Saccharomyces cerevisiae S288C: one gene and its partners. The gene in region 1 interacts genetically with each later gene. Each region holds a gene or a part of one and is shown on either strand. Other genes may lie near its edges. The genes, in order: BAS1, ADE3 and CIN4.

Region 1 (3,759 bases):
TTAACTTGTAAAGCATTCGCATCATATGACACTAGATCTGGATAATACTTGACAACATTTTCGTTCGAGAGCTCTTCATGTATTCGTGCTAAAACTATTAGTAGAAATTCCTGTGTATCCTGTTGATCATCTGGGATGTTCAAATCTGGCCTTAACTTCTTGCACATTTTTAAGAATCTATTTGGTATAATCGCTCTTCCTCCATTCAAATACATTTTTTTGAACAAAACGTAAATCGAGCGGGAAAGTTGGACTTCTTTCGGATATTTGTTAGTATTGAGGAATAGCCTATATTTCTTGGTTAAAAACAAATCCCGAAATAAGGTAGTGCCAAACAGACATTGAATTATACTGTTAATATAGCATGTATTGCATGGATTTTGCAGGCCAGTAATAGATAACTCTGATAACAGATCATTAGAATCTTCAATTACTGGTAGATTGTAAGCTTTCGGGGCCGAAGATTCTATGGCCTCGATCTTTCCTTCTTCCTCCTTTGGCTTTTCCACCTTGGATAAAGAGGATGAAGAATCTTGGCTAGAATCTCTGATTTGTGACGAAACCTCCAAGGAGTGCACGGGGGGAGCAGTTGCTGGACTAGACAGCGTTTTGAATAATGCATCCTTTCCAGTACTGAGTTTTAAATACGAGGGTTTTGATAATGCTTCTTTGCTTGTGTAGTACGCCACTTCAGAACCAGCTTCCAATTTATTACTTGATGCTATCTGATTACTTTCCCTGACTATGTCCTCTTTCGAATTATCATTTGTTGGTTTTGTTAGCTCATTCGGTATTTCATGTAGTGAGCCATCAAACTTGTTATGTATTGACAAAGAGGCCATATGAACAGGTAAAGGCCGTAGCGGTAAGGAGTAGGCTCTTTTTCTTTTTATGGTCCTGCAAATTCCGTTTGACTCCGCTAAATACCGGTCAACAATAACAGTACTTTCATCTCTTACCACTTTTAACACATAACCCATCACGTGTTCGTCTTGATAGTCGTTTTTTAGCTTTGCGTAACTGCTGTAGAGATTATTTCTTGTTTGGAATTGTAACGATTGTGGAATAATAAGGTACAGATAATAACAACCAATAATAAATGCTGTCAAAGCTTCCATTTCCTGATTGATTTCTAAATCCCTCAGGTAAACATTAAACAGATGAGCAGCATGGTCTAACAATCCTCTTAAGTTCTTTAGCCGTAATTGCGAATAAAACTGTTTAATATCTACTTCATATACTTTTCGAACTAGGTTTAGAATTTGATCTGGGTTTAATAACATTGTCTTTATGACTTCCGATTTAGCGAAAAGAAAACGGAAAGTAAGATCAATGCCACGGTTATTTAGTTTACTGAAGATCCTGAAAGACTACTAGCAGTAGCAGTAACCTTTCAGAGCTTATAATCAACCTAATGATTACTCAGCGCACAATCTAAAAGGGTTTCTCAACTAATTCTCGAAGAAATGTCAATCCCTTTTTTAAGCACTCCGGAAAAACTTTATAATAGATGTGGGGAAATCACCTTTGACGATGTGCAACGGAGAAACTATTTTTTTTTTTCTTTTTTTCTTTTTTTTTTTTTTTTTGGTCCGAACAATGCGATGAGCCAGACGAAGAAAAAAATAAAAAATGAGAATGAGTAATTATGTTAAGACCTTTAGAAGAAATAGGGTCCAGTCACAGAATAAAGCCCCAGGAAACTTTAAAGCAATCGAAATTAACCAGCTATATTTATATAATAAGAAATTTTTCTTATTAGTTTACTATAAAGGACTAGTGTACGTTTTTTGTGTTTAATTATTTGCTTTCTGATAATCCGGTTTGCTGATTTGAATCGTTCTCTGCAACAATTGTTGATCTCTAGTGGGGTAAACAAAATTAGTTTTGTTTAAAACTTTTGTTGTAGCGTTTTTGCTCTTTTTTTTTTATCGCAGAATACATTTTATCGAGAATGTCGAATATAAGTACCAAAGATATACGAAAAAGTAAGCCAAAAAGAGGATCCGGCTTCGATTTACTTGAAGTGACTGAATCACTTGGCTATCAGACACACAGGAAAAATGGAAGAAATTCATGGTCAAAGGACGACGATAATATGCTACGATCGCTAGTAAACGAATCCGCAAAGGAGTTAGGCTATGAGAATGGACTTGAAGACGTAAAAACAATTCAACAATCCAACCATCTTTCTAAATGTATTGCTTGGGATGTTTTAGCTACACGATTCAAACACACCGTAAGAACTTCAAAGGATGTAAGAAAGCGTTGGACAGGATCTCTGGACCCAAACTTGAAGAAAGGTAAATGGACACAAGAAGAGGATGAGCAGCTCTTGAAAGCTTATGAAGAACATGGGCCTCACTGGCTGAGTATCTCCATGGATATCCCTGGAAGAACAGAGGATCAATGTGCGAAAAGGTACATTGAAGTGTTGGGACCTGGAAGTAAAGGTAGATTAAGAGAATGGACGCTCGAGGAAGATTTAAATCTGATAAGTAAAGTGAAGGCATACGGCACGAAATGGAGAAAGATTTCGTCGGAAATGGAATTCAGACCAAGTTTAACGTGCAGGAACAGATGGCGGAAAATTATTACTATGGTTGTGCGAGGACAAGCATCAGAAGTAATAACAAAGGCTATAAAAGAAAACAAGAACATAGACATGACAGACGGAAAACTCCGACAACATCCAATCGCCGATTCTGATATACGCTCAGATTCTACACCGAATAAAGAAGAACAGTTGCAGCTATCTCAACAGAACAACCCTTCATTGATAAAGCAGGATATATTGAATGTTAAAGAGAACGAATCGAGCAAACTACCAAGATTAAAGGATAATGATGGACCCATTTTAAATGACAGCAAGCCACAAGCATTACCTCCCTTAAAAGAGATATCTGCACCTCCACCAATCAGGATGACGCAAGTCGGTCAGACTCATACCAGTGGTAGCATTAGGAGCAAAGTATCTTTACCAATTGAAGGTCTTTCTCAAATGAACAAGCAAAGTCCTGGAGGAATCTCAGATAGCCCACAGACAAGCCTTCCCCCAGCATTCAATCCAGCATCTCTCGATGAGCATATGATGAATAGTAATAGTATTTCAGATTCTCCGAAGCATGCTTATTCTACTGTGAAAACTAGAGAACCAAATTCCTCTAGCACACAATGGAAATTTACATTAAAAGATGGTCAAGGTTTGTCAATTTCTAACGGAACTATTGACAGCACAAAATTAGTAAAAGAATTGGTTGACCAAGCTAAGAAGTACTCTTTAAAAATTTCGATACATCAACATATTCACAATCATTATGTTACATCCACAGACCATCCTGTCAGCAGCAATACTGGATTGTCAAATATAGGAAATATAAATGGAAACCCTCTATTAATGGATAGTTTCCCACATATGGGTAGACAACTGGGAAATGGTCTTCCAGGGTTAAATTCAAATAGTGACACTTTTAACCCAGAATATAGGACTTCTCTGGACAACATGGATAGCGATTTTTTATCAAGAACACCCAACTATAACGCATTCAGCTTGGAAGCAACTTCACACAATCCCGCTGACAATGCAAATGAACTTGGTTCACAAAGCAATAGAGAAACAAACAGCCCGTCTGTATTTTATCCTCAAGCAAATACATTGATCCCAACTAATTCTACCGCTACAAATAATGAAATCATTCAAGGAAACGTTAGTGCTAATAGTATGTCACCGAATTTCAATGGAACAAATGGCAAGGCACC
Region 2 (3,759 bases), on another chromosome or scaffold:
AATATTTGTCATAATCTCTGATGATCTTTGTGATAATATCACTTGTAGAGACACCATTGGTTCTTTGGGTAGTCAAGAATTTTCCCATCTCCTTTATTGGCTTGTAGATATCGTCGCTGTCGGCGCTAACGTAAGGAATATCGTCATGTGCCACGTAGTCAATCTTGTGTTCTAGTAGAAATTCTGGGGTGACACACCAGGGAGCGTTGGGCACGACTTCGTCAACCCATCTGCAGTGCGTTAAAGTTTCACAACGCTGCTTATCGGTCAGCACAGTCAAACCTTTTAGTTTGTGAGTGATTTTGTCGCTAGGCACACCAACTATCAGTGTTACATTGGGGAAAGCCTTCTTACACTGTTCCAGTTGCTTCATGTGGCCAAGATGGAAAAGATCAAAAACACCATCTGCATATATCCTGATGGGTCTATCCGTTGGAGGCAAATTGAATCTGAAACCTTTAGGACGATACTTGCGCAGTTCCTTGGGCAACTCGTTGGTGTAACGAGCCTCCTTCTCTTCAAACTCCTTCGTCAACCGGCGACGCTTGCGGGGAGTGAGCTGTGTGTCCTTATTTTCATCCTGGTTCTTACTCTCATCCTTATCCTCATTGTCCTGCTCTTCCGTTTCCTCACGCTGTCTTTTATTTTTATTTTTTTTAAATAGGTTTGATAGCGATGAGTTAGAAAGCTTAGCCCTAATCGAGGACTTCCCTGTTGTTGGGTTTGCCATTTTTCTTTGTGTCTGCTGTGCTTTGTACTACCAAGAGAGAATAGCAAGAGTGAAATTTGAAAGTTAAACAATACAATAAAGAAAAGTGACTGGCGTATGCAAGAAAGGGGAATGGGTATAAAAAATACAAGAACGGCAGAAAAAATAAAAGAAACAGGAGAAACAAACAATGGTAACTGTACTAAAACCAATACCAGATATATATTTCATACTTATTAAAAAGCGTTAAGAAACGAAGCGTAAAAACGTAAGAAAAAGAATGACTATATAACGGTAGGTCTTCGACTCATTTTTTTCTTCCTACATGCAAACGACAAATACGGGTAATGCACATTTCGCTTATTGGGTTCTTCCCTTTCCTTTTTTCCATTTTTTTCTTTCTGGCTGTCGCTAGCCTTTCTACTTCCTCCGCACATACAGTTTTCAGCACAGTATAGATAGCTGTGCAGCCAGATAGAAGCAAAAGAGAAGTCAATTGCAAAAAAAATATGGACTCGTACTCAATAACAAACGTAAAATACCTGGATCCGACTGAATTGCATCGTTGGATGCAAGAAGGACACACTACTACGCTGAGGGAGCCTTTCCAGGTAGTGGATGTGCGAGGCTCAGATTATATGGGGGGCCATATCAAGGACGGATGGCACTACGCCTATTCGCGCCTTAAGCAGGATCCGGAGTACTTACGTGAGCTAAAGCACAGATTGTTGGAAAAGCAAGCGGACGGCCGCGGAGCGCTGAACGTGATTTTCCATTGTATGTTATCGCAGCAGCGCGGACCGTCTGCAGCGATGCTGCTGCTTCGGTCGCTTGACACGGCGGAACTTTCTCGCTGTCGTCTATGGGTGTTGCGTGGGGGGTTCTCGCGCTGGCAATCCGTATACGGTGACGACGAGAGCGTTACGGCGGGTTACCTACCCGATCTGTGGCGTTGACAGGTTTACACAATCGCACGTGATCATATATTTGCCATGACTCCTCCCAGTGACAATTTTGTTCTTTTTTCCTCTTTATCGCTTTCGTACTATGGTCAGTCATTCATTCATTATATACGCGCTCTCCATAACCCGTAACTTTTTATTATATATAGACTCGTTTACAATACAACGATAGCGATACCATTCAATTGAAGTTGTGAGACCAGGTAACGAGACGAACACAACTTTACAAGTCAAATAAGAAATCATGGCTGGTCAAGTGTTGGACGGCAAAGCATGCGCTCAGCAGTTTAGAAGCAATATTGCTAATGAAATCAAAAGCATTCAAGGTCACGTGCCTGGGTTTGCACCTAACCTTGCCATCATTCAAGTAGGCAACAGACCAGACTCAGCCACATATGTACGCATGAAGCGTAAGGCAGCTGAAGAGGCCGGCATTGTTGCTAATTTCATTCATTTAGATGAATCCGCTACTGAATTTGAAGTTCTGCGTTACGTGGACCAGCTGAATGAGGACCCACATACACACGGTATTATCGTGCAACTACCATTACCCGCTCATTTGGACGAGGATAGAATCACCTCGAGAGTGTTGGCAGAAAAGGACGTGGACGGGTTCGGGCCCACCAACATTGGCGAATTGAATAAGAAGAACGGACACCCATTCTTTTTGCCCTGCACGCCCAAGGGGATCATTGAGCTGCTTCACAAGGCCAACGTCACGATTGAAGGTTCCCGGTCCGTTGTGATCGGAAGATCTGACATTGTTGGCTCTCCTGTTGCAGAATTGTTAAAATCTCTAAACTCCACCGTCACCATCACTCATTCTAAAACCCGTGATATCGCATCATACTTACACGACGCGGACATCGTAGTCGTTGCCATCGGCCAACCAGAATTTGTGAAGGGTGAATGGTTCAAACCAAGAGACGGCACTTCCAGTGATAAGAAAACCGTGGTAATTGATGTTGGCACCAACTACGTTGCTGATCCTTCCAAAAAGTCCGGTTTCAAATGTGTTGGTGACGTTGAGTTCAATGAAGCAATCAAATACGTCCATCTAATCACTCCAGTGCCCGGTGGTGTGGGCCCCATGACGGTGGCTATGTTAATGCAAAATACCTTGATTGCTGCCAAACGCCAAATGGAAGAATCCTCGAAGCCTTTGCAGATTCCTCCCTTGCCATTGAAGTTGCTAACACCTGTTCCTTCCGATATAGACATCTCCAGAGCACAACAGCCAAAGCTTATCAACCAGCTTGCTCAAGAATTGGGTATTTACTCTCATGAGTTGGAGCTGTACGGACATTACAAGGCCAAAATTTCTCCTAAAGTCATCGAAAGGCTGCAGACGCGCCAAAATGGTAAGTACATCTTGGTGTCTGGTATCACACCAACACCACTGGGAGAGGGTAAATCCACTACAACAATGGGTCTTGTCCAGGCACTAACGGCTCACTTGGGCAAGCCAGCCATTGCGAACGTCAGACAACCCTCCCTAGGACCCACTTTAGGTGTCAAAGGTGGTGCTGCGGGTGGTGGTTATTCCCAAGTCATCCCAATGGACGAATTCAACTTACATTTGACTGGTGACATTCACGCCATTGGTGCGGCTAACAACCTACTTGCTGCCGCTATTGACACTAGAATGTTCCATGAGACCACTCAAAAGAACGACGCTACCTTCTACAACAGACTAGTGCCTAGAAAGAACGGAAAGAGAAAGTTTACTCCCTCCATGCAAAGAAGATTGAACAGACTGGGTATTCAAAAGACCAACCCCGATGATCTAACACCCGAAGAGATCAACAAATTCGCCAGATTGAACATTGACCCGGACACTATTACTATCAAGAGGGTGGTCGATATCAACGACAGAATGTTAAGACAAATCACCATTGGTCAAGCCCCTACCGAGAAGAACCACACAAGAGTTACTGGATTCGATATCACCGTTGCTTCTGAATTGATGGCTATTCTTGCTCTTTCAAAGGACTTGAGGGACATGAAGGAACGTATTGGAAGAGTCGTTGTTGCTGCTGACGTAAACAGGTCTCCAGTCACTGTTGAAGATGTGGGTTGTACCGGTGC
Region 3 (3,235 bases), on another chromosome or scaffold:
TAATAGCAACTTTTTCATTAGTTTCTTGAATAACAGTGGCAAATACCACACCAAACGAACCATGCCCAACTACTTCGGTGGTAGGGAAAGATATCTGCACCGGATCATTCGGGTCTATCGTAGGTGGAGGATGGGCGTAGTAAACCTGTTTTGACACTATGTTATTACTGAGATTCGGAGAATTATTGCTTTGAATATTCATCCTGCGCGAGTTCTAGCGTTGCGTGATTAGTGTTGCCGTGTTGTAATGTAATGCTATGTCAAGATCTTGCCCAGTAATGTGTGAATCAGACGTCGGTGGTTGGCTATTCTGGAAAAAAAGGTGTTAAAATGCAATGCGCCAGAAAGAAAAGGAAATAAGACAATGGCAACGACCGATTGGAAATAATCTGCTGGTCTTCCTACCACTCCTTCTTGTGTAAGATCTTCAATGGACCCGTGCTTTGTAACCCGCAAGCCTTACAGAACCCCTTGGTAGTATTATTATCCGGAGTGAGCAGAAGCCACGAATGCGCACAGTCGGCGGGTAATGAACTATCACGCTATAAATACTGACATTATTTAAAGTTTTTATATGGTGCTCACATCTTAGACGATTATTGGGTAAAATGGCAGGATTCCACCAGACGGTCACGCAGGTTATCAATACCTTCTCCGGTAACGCCACTACATTTGACGAGCTCTATTCGGATGTCCGGCTTGAACAGACACTTCAACTCGCTCTCTACCAGTAAACACCTTCGATGAAGCTCGGACTTGTCCTCCACTAAATCAATCTTGTTCAACACAACGATAACAGCACACTCGTATCCTATTCGATTTTCGTCTCTATTGATTAATTCTTTTAGTTCTTGCAAGGTTTCGTCAAACCGCATTGAAAGGCTCACATCTATACACCATATCATCGCTTGTGTCTTATCAAAATAGTTATCCCAAAATGGCCTTAATGTGCGTTGCCCCCCAATGTCCCATAGAGATATTGTCACATCTTTTATCATCAGACTATGTATTTGAAAACCCACAGTAGGCATTATACCATCGTTATTTTGCTCATCCTTGGGCAATAGTTTGTTTACTATCGTTGACTTCCCCGAATTGTCTAGTCCTAGAATCAGACAGCGAATTTCTTTGTCCCTGAGCTTCTGTTTCCTGATAATACTTAGTAGTCCCATGTATTCTTCTACACCTTAAGCTTCCCTCTTATTATCTTTATAAATTAGTGCGATGGCTTTTTAGATTTTGTCATGGAAACGGACTGAAAAAGTACTAGTAAAATAGCAATATAAACATAATCAAATACCTGCGTCAAAACTCATGTTAAGCAGCATACGCACTAGTGACTAATTTGGGTGGTCGGTTGATTATGTCAAGGAAATCTATAGTGCAAATAAGAAGATCTGAAGTAAAGCGGAAACGAAGTAGCACCGCTAGCAGTACAAGTGAGGGGAAAACTCTTCATAAGAACACACATACATCCTCTAAAAGGCAGAGAACTTTGACAGAATTCAACATCCCAACTTCATCGAACTTACCTGTCCGTTCCAGTTCATATTCATTCTCAAGGTTCAGTTGTTCAACATCCAATAAGAATACAGAGCCAGTAATTATTAACGATGACGATCACAATAGCATTTGCCTTGAAGACACTGCAAAGGTCGAAATCACCATAGACACAGACGAGGAAGAACTAGTTAGCTTGCATGATAACGAAGTCAGCGCAATAGAAAATAGGACCGAAGATCGAATAGTAACGGAATTGGAGGAGCAAGTAAATGTTAAAGTCTCTACAGAAGTTATTCAATGTCCTATTTGTCTAGAAAACCTTTCTCATTTAGAATTGTACGAAAGAGAGACACACTGTGATACTTGCATAGGCAGTGACCCGAGCAATATGGGAACACCTAAAAAGAATATCAGGAGCTTTATTTCTAATCCATCATCTCCTGCAAAAACGAAGAGGGATATAGCTACGTCAAAAAAACCAACAAGAGTAAAACTTGTTTTACCAAGTTTCAAGATAATTAAGTTCAATAATGGCCACGAAATAGTTGTGGATGGTTTCAATTATAAGGCCAGCGAGACTATCTCTCAGTACTTTCTTTCTCATTTTCATTCTGATCACTATATTGGACTCAAAAAATCTTGGAACAATCCTGATGAGAATCCGATCAAGAAAACACTTTACTGTTCTAAGATCACTGCAATATTAGTAAATTTAAAATTCAAAATTCCAATGGATGAAATCCAAATTTTACCCATGAATAAACGCTTTTGGATAACAGATACCATTTCAGTAGTTACGTTGGACGCTAACCATTGTCCCGGTGCAATAATAATGCTTTTCCAGGAGTTTCTGGCAAATTCGTATGATAAGCCTATAAGACAAATTCTTCACACGGGGGATTTTCGAAGCAACGCCAAAATGATTGAGACAATTCAGAAGTGGTTGGCCGAGACAGCGAATGAAACTATTGACCAAGTTTATTTAGATACAACATATATGACTATGGGATACAACTTTCCTTCACAACATTCTGTGTGCGAGACTGTGGCTGATTTTACATTACGGCTTATAAAACATGGTAAAAACAAAACATTTGGAGATTCACAAAGGAACCTTTTTCACTTTCAGAGAAAGAAAACATTGACAACTCATCGTTACAGGGTCCTATTTCTTGTGGGAACATATACTATTGGAAAAGAGAAGCTAGCCATCAAGATATGTGAATTTTTGAAAACAAAATTATTTGTTATGCCGAATTCCGTTAAATTTTCAATGATGCTAACAGTTTTACAAAACAACGAAAATCAAAATGACATGTGGGACGAAAGCTTACTCACCAGCAATTTACATGAATCATCCGTACATTTGGTACCTATAAGAGTGTTGAAAAGTCAAGAAACCATAGAAGCTTACTTGAAAAGTTTAAAAGAATTGGAAACAGACTATGTGAAAGACATTGAAGATGTTGTCGGGTTTATACCTACCGGGTGGAGTCACAATTTTGGTTTAAAATATCAAAAGAAAAACGATGATGATGAGAATGAAATGAGTGGCAATACAGAATATTGCTTAGAACTAATGAAGAATGATCGAGATAATGATGATGAGAATGGGTTTGAAATCTCGAGTATATTGAGGCAATACAAAAAGTACAACAAATTTCAAGTTTTTAACGTACCATATTCTGAACACAGTAGTTTTAACGATTTAGTGAAATTTGGTTGTAAATTG

The links.
Region 2: mutations in BAS1 (region 1) and ADE3 impair growth when combined (synthetic growth defect), as found in Saccharomyces cerevisiae (one study listed by BioGRID).
Region 3: mutations in BAS1 (region 1) and CIN4 together harm fitness more than expected from each alone (negative genetic interaction), as found in Saccharomyces cerevisiae (2 studies listed by BioGRID).

The regions. Positions count from the first base shown.
Region 1 is NC_001143.9:633,897-637,655, forward strand, and holds the start of BAS1 (Bas1p), read left to right. Parts: upstream 1-1,954; coding exon 1,955-3,759. Other genes in the region: ubiquitin-specific protease UBP11, read right to left, coding at 1-1,283. UniProt on the Saccharomyces cerevisiae protein: Activates HIS4 transcription only in combination with PHO2/BAS2. BAS1 is also involved in the regulation of the purine biosynthesis pathway.
Region 2 is NC_001139.9:904,019-907,777, forward strand, and holds the start of ADE3 (trifunctional formate-tetrahydrofolate ligase/methenyltetrahydrofolate cyclohydrolase/methylenetetrahydrofolate dehydrogenase ADE3), read left to right. Parts: upstream 1-1,915; coding exon 1,916-3,759. Other genes in the region: PCT1 (choline-phosphate cytidylyltransferase), read right to left, coding at 1-730; phosphatase YCH1, read left to right, coding at 1,219-1,665. UniProt on the Saccharomyces cerevisiae protein: Cytoplasmic isozyme of C-1-tetrahydrofolate synthase.
Region 3 is NC_001145.3:543,092-546,326, reverse strand, and holds CIN4 (Arf family GTPase CIN4), read right to left. Parts: upstream 1,173-3,235; coding exon 597-1,172; downstream 1-596. Other genes in the region: serine/threonine protein kinase RIM11, read right to left, coding at 1-202; DNA cross-link repair protein PSO2, read left to right, coding at 1,364-3,235. UniProt on the Saccharomyces cerevisiae protein: Implicated in yeast microtubule function.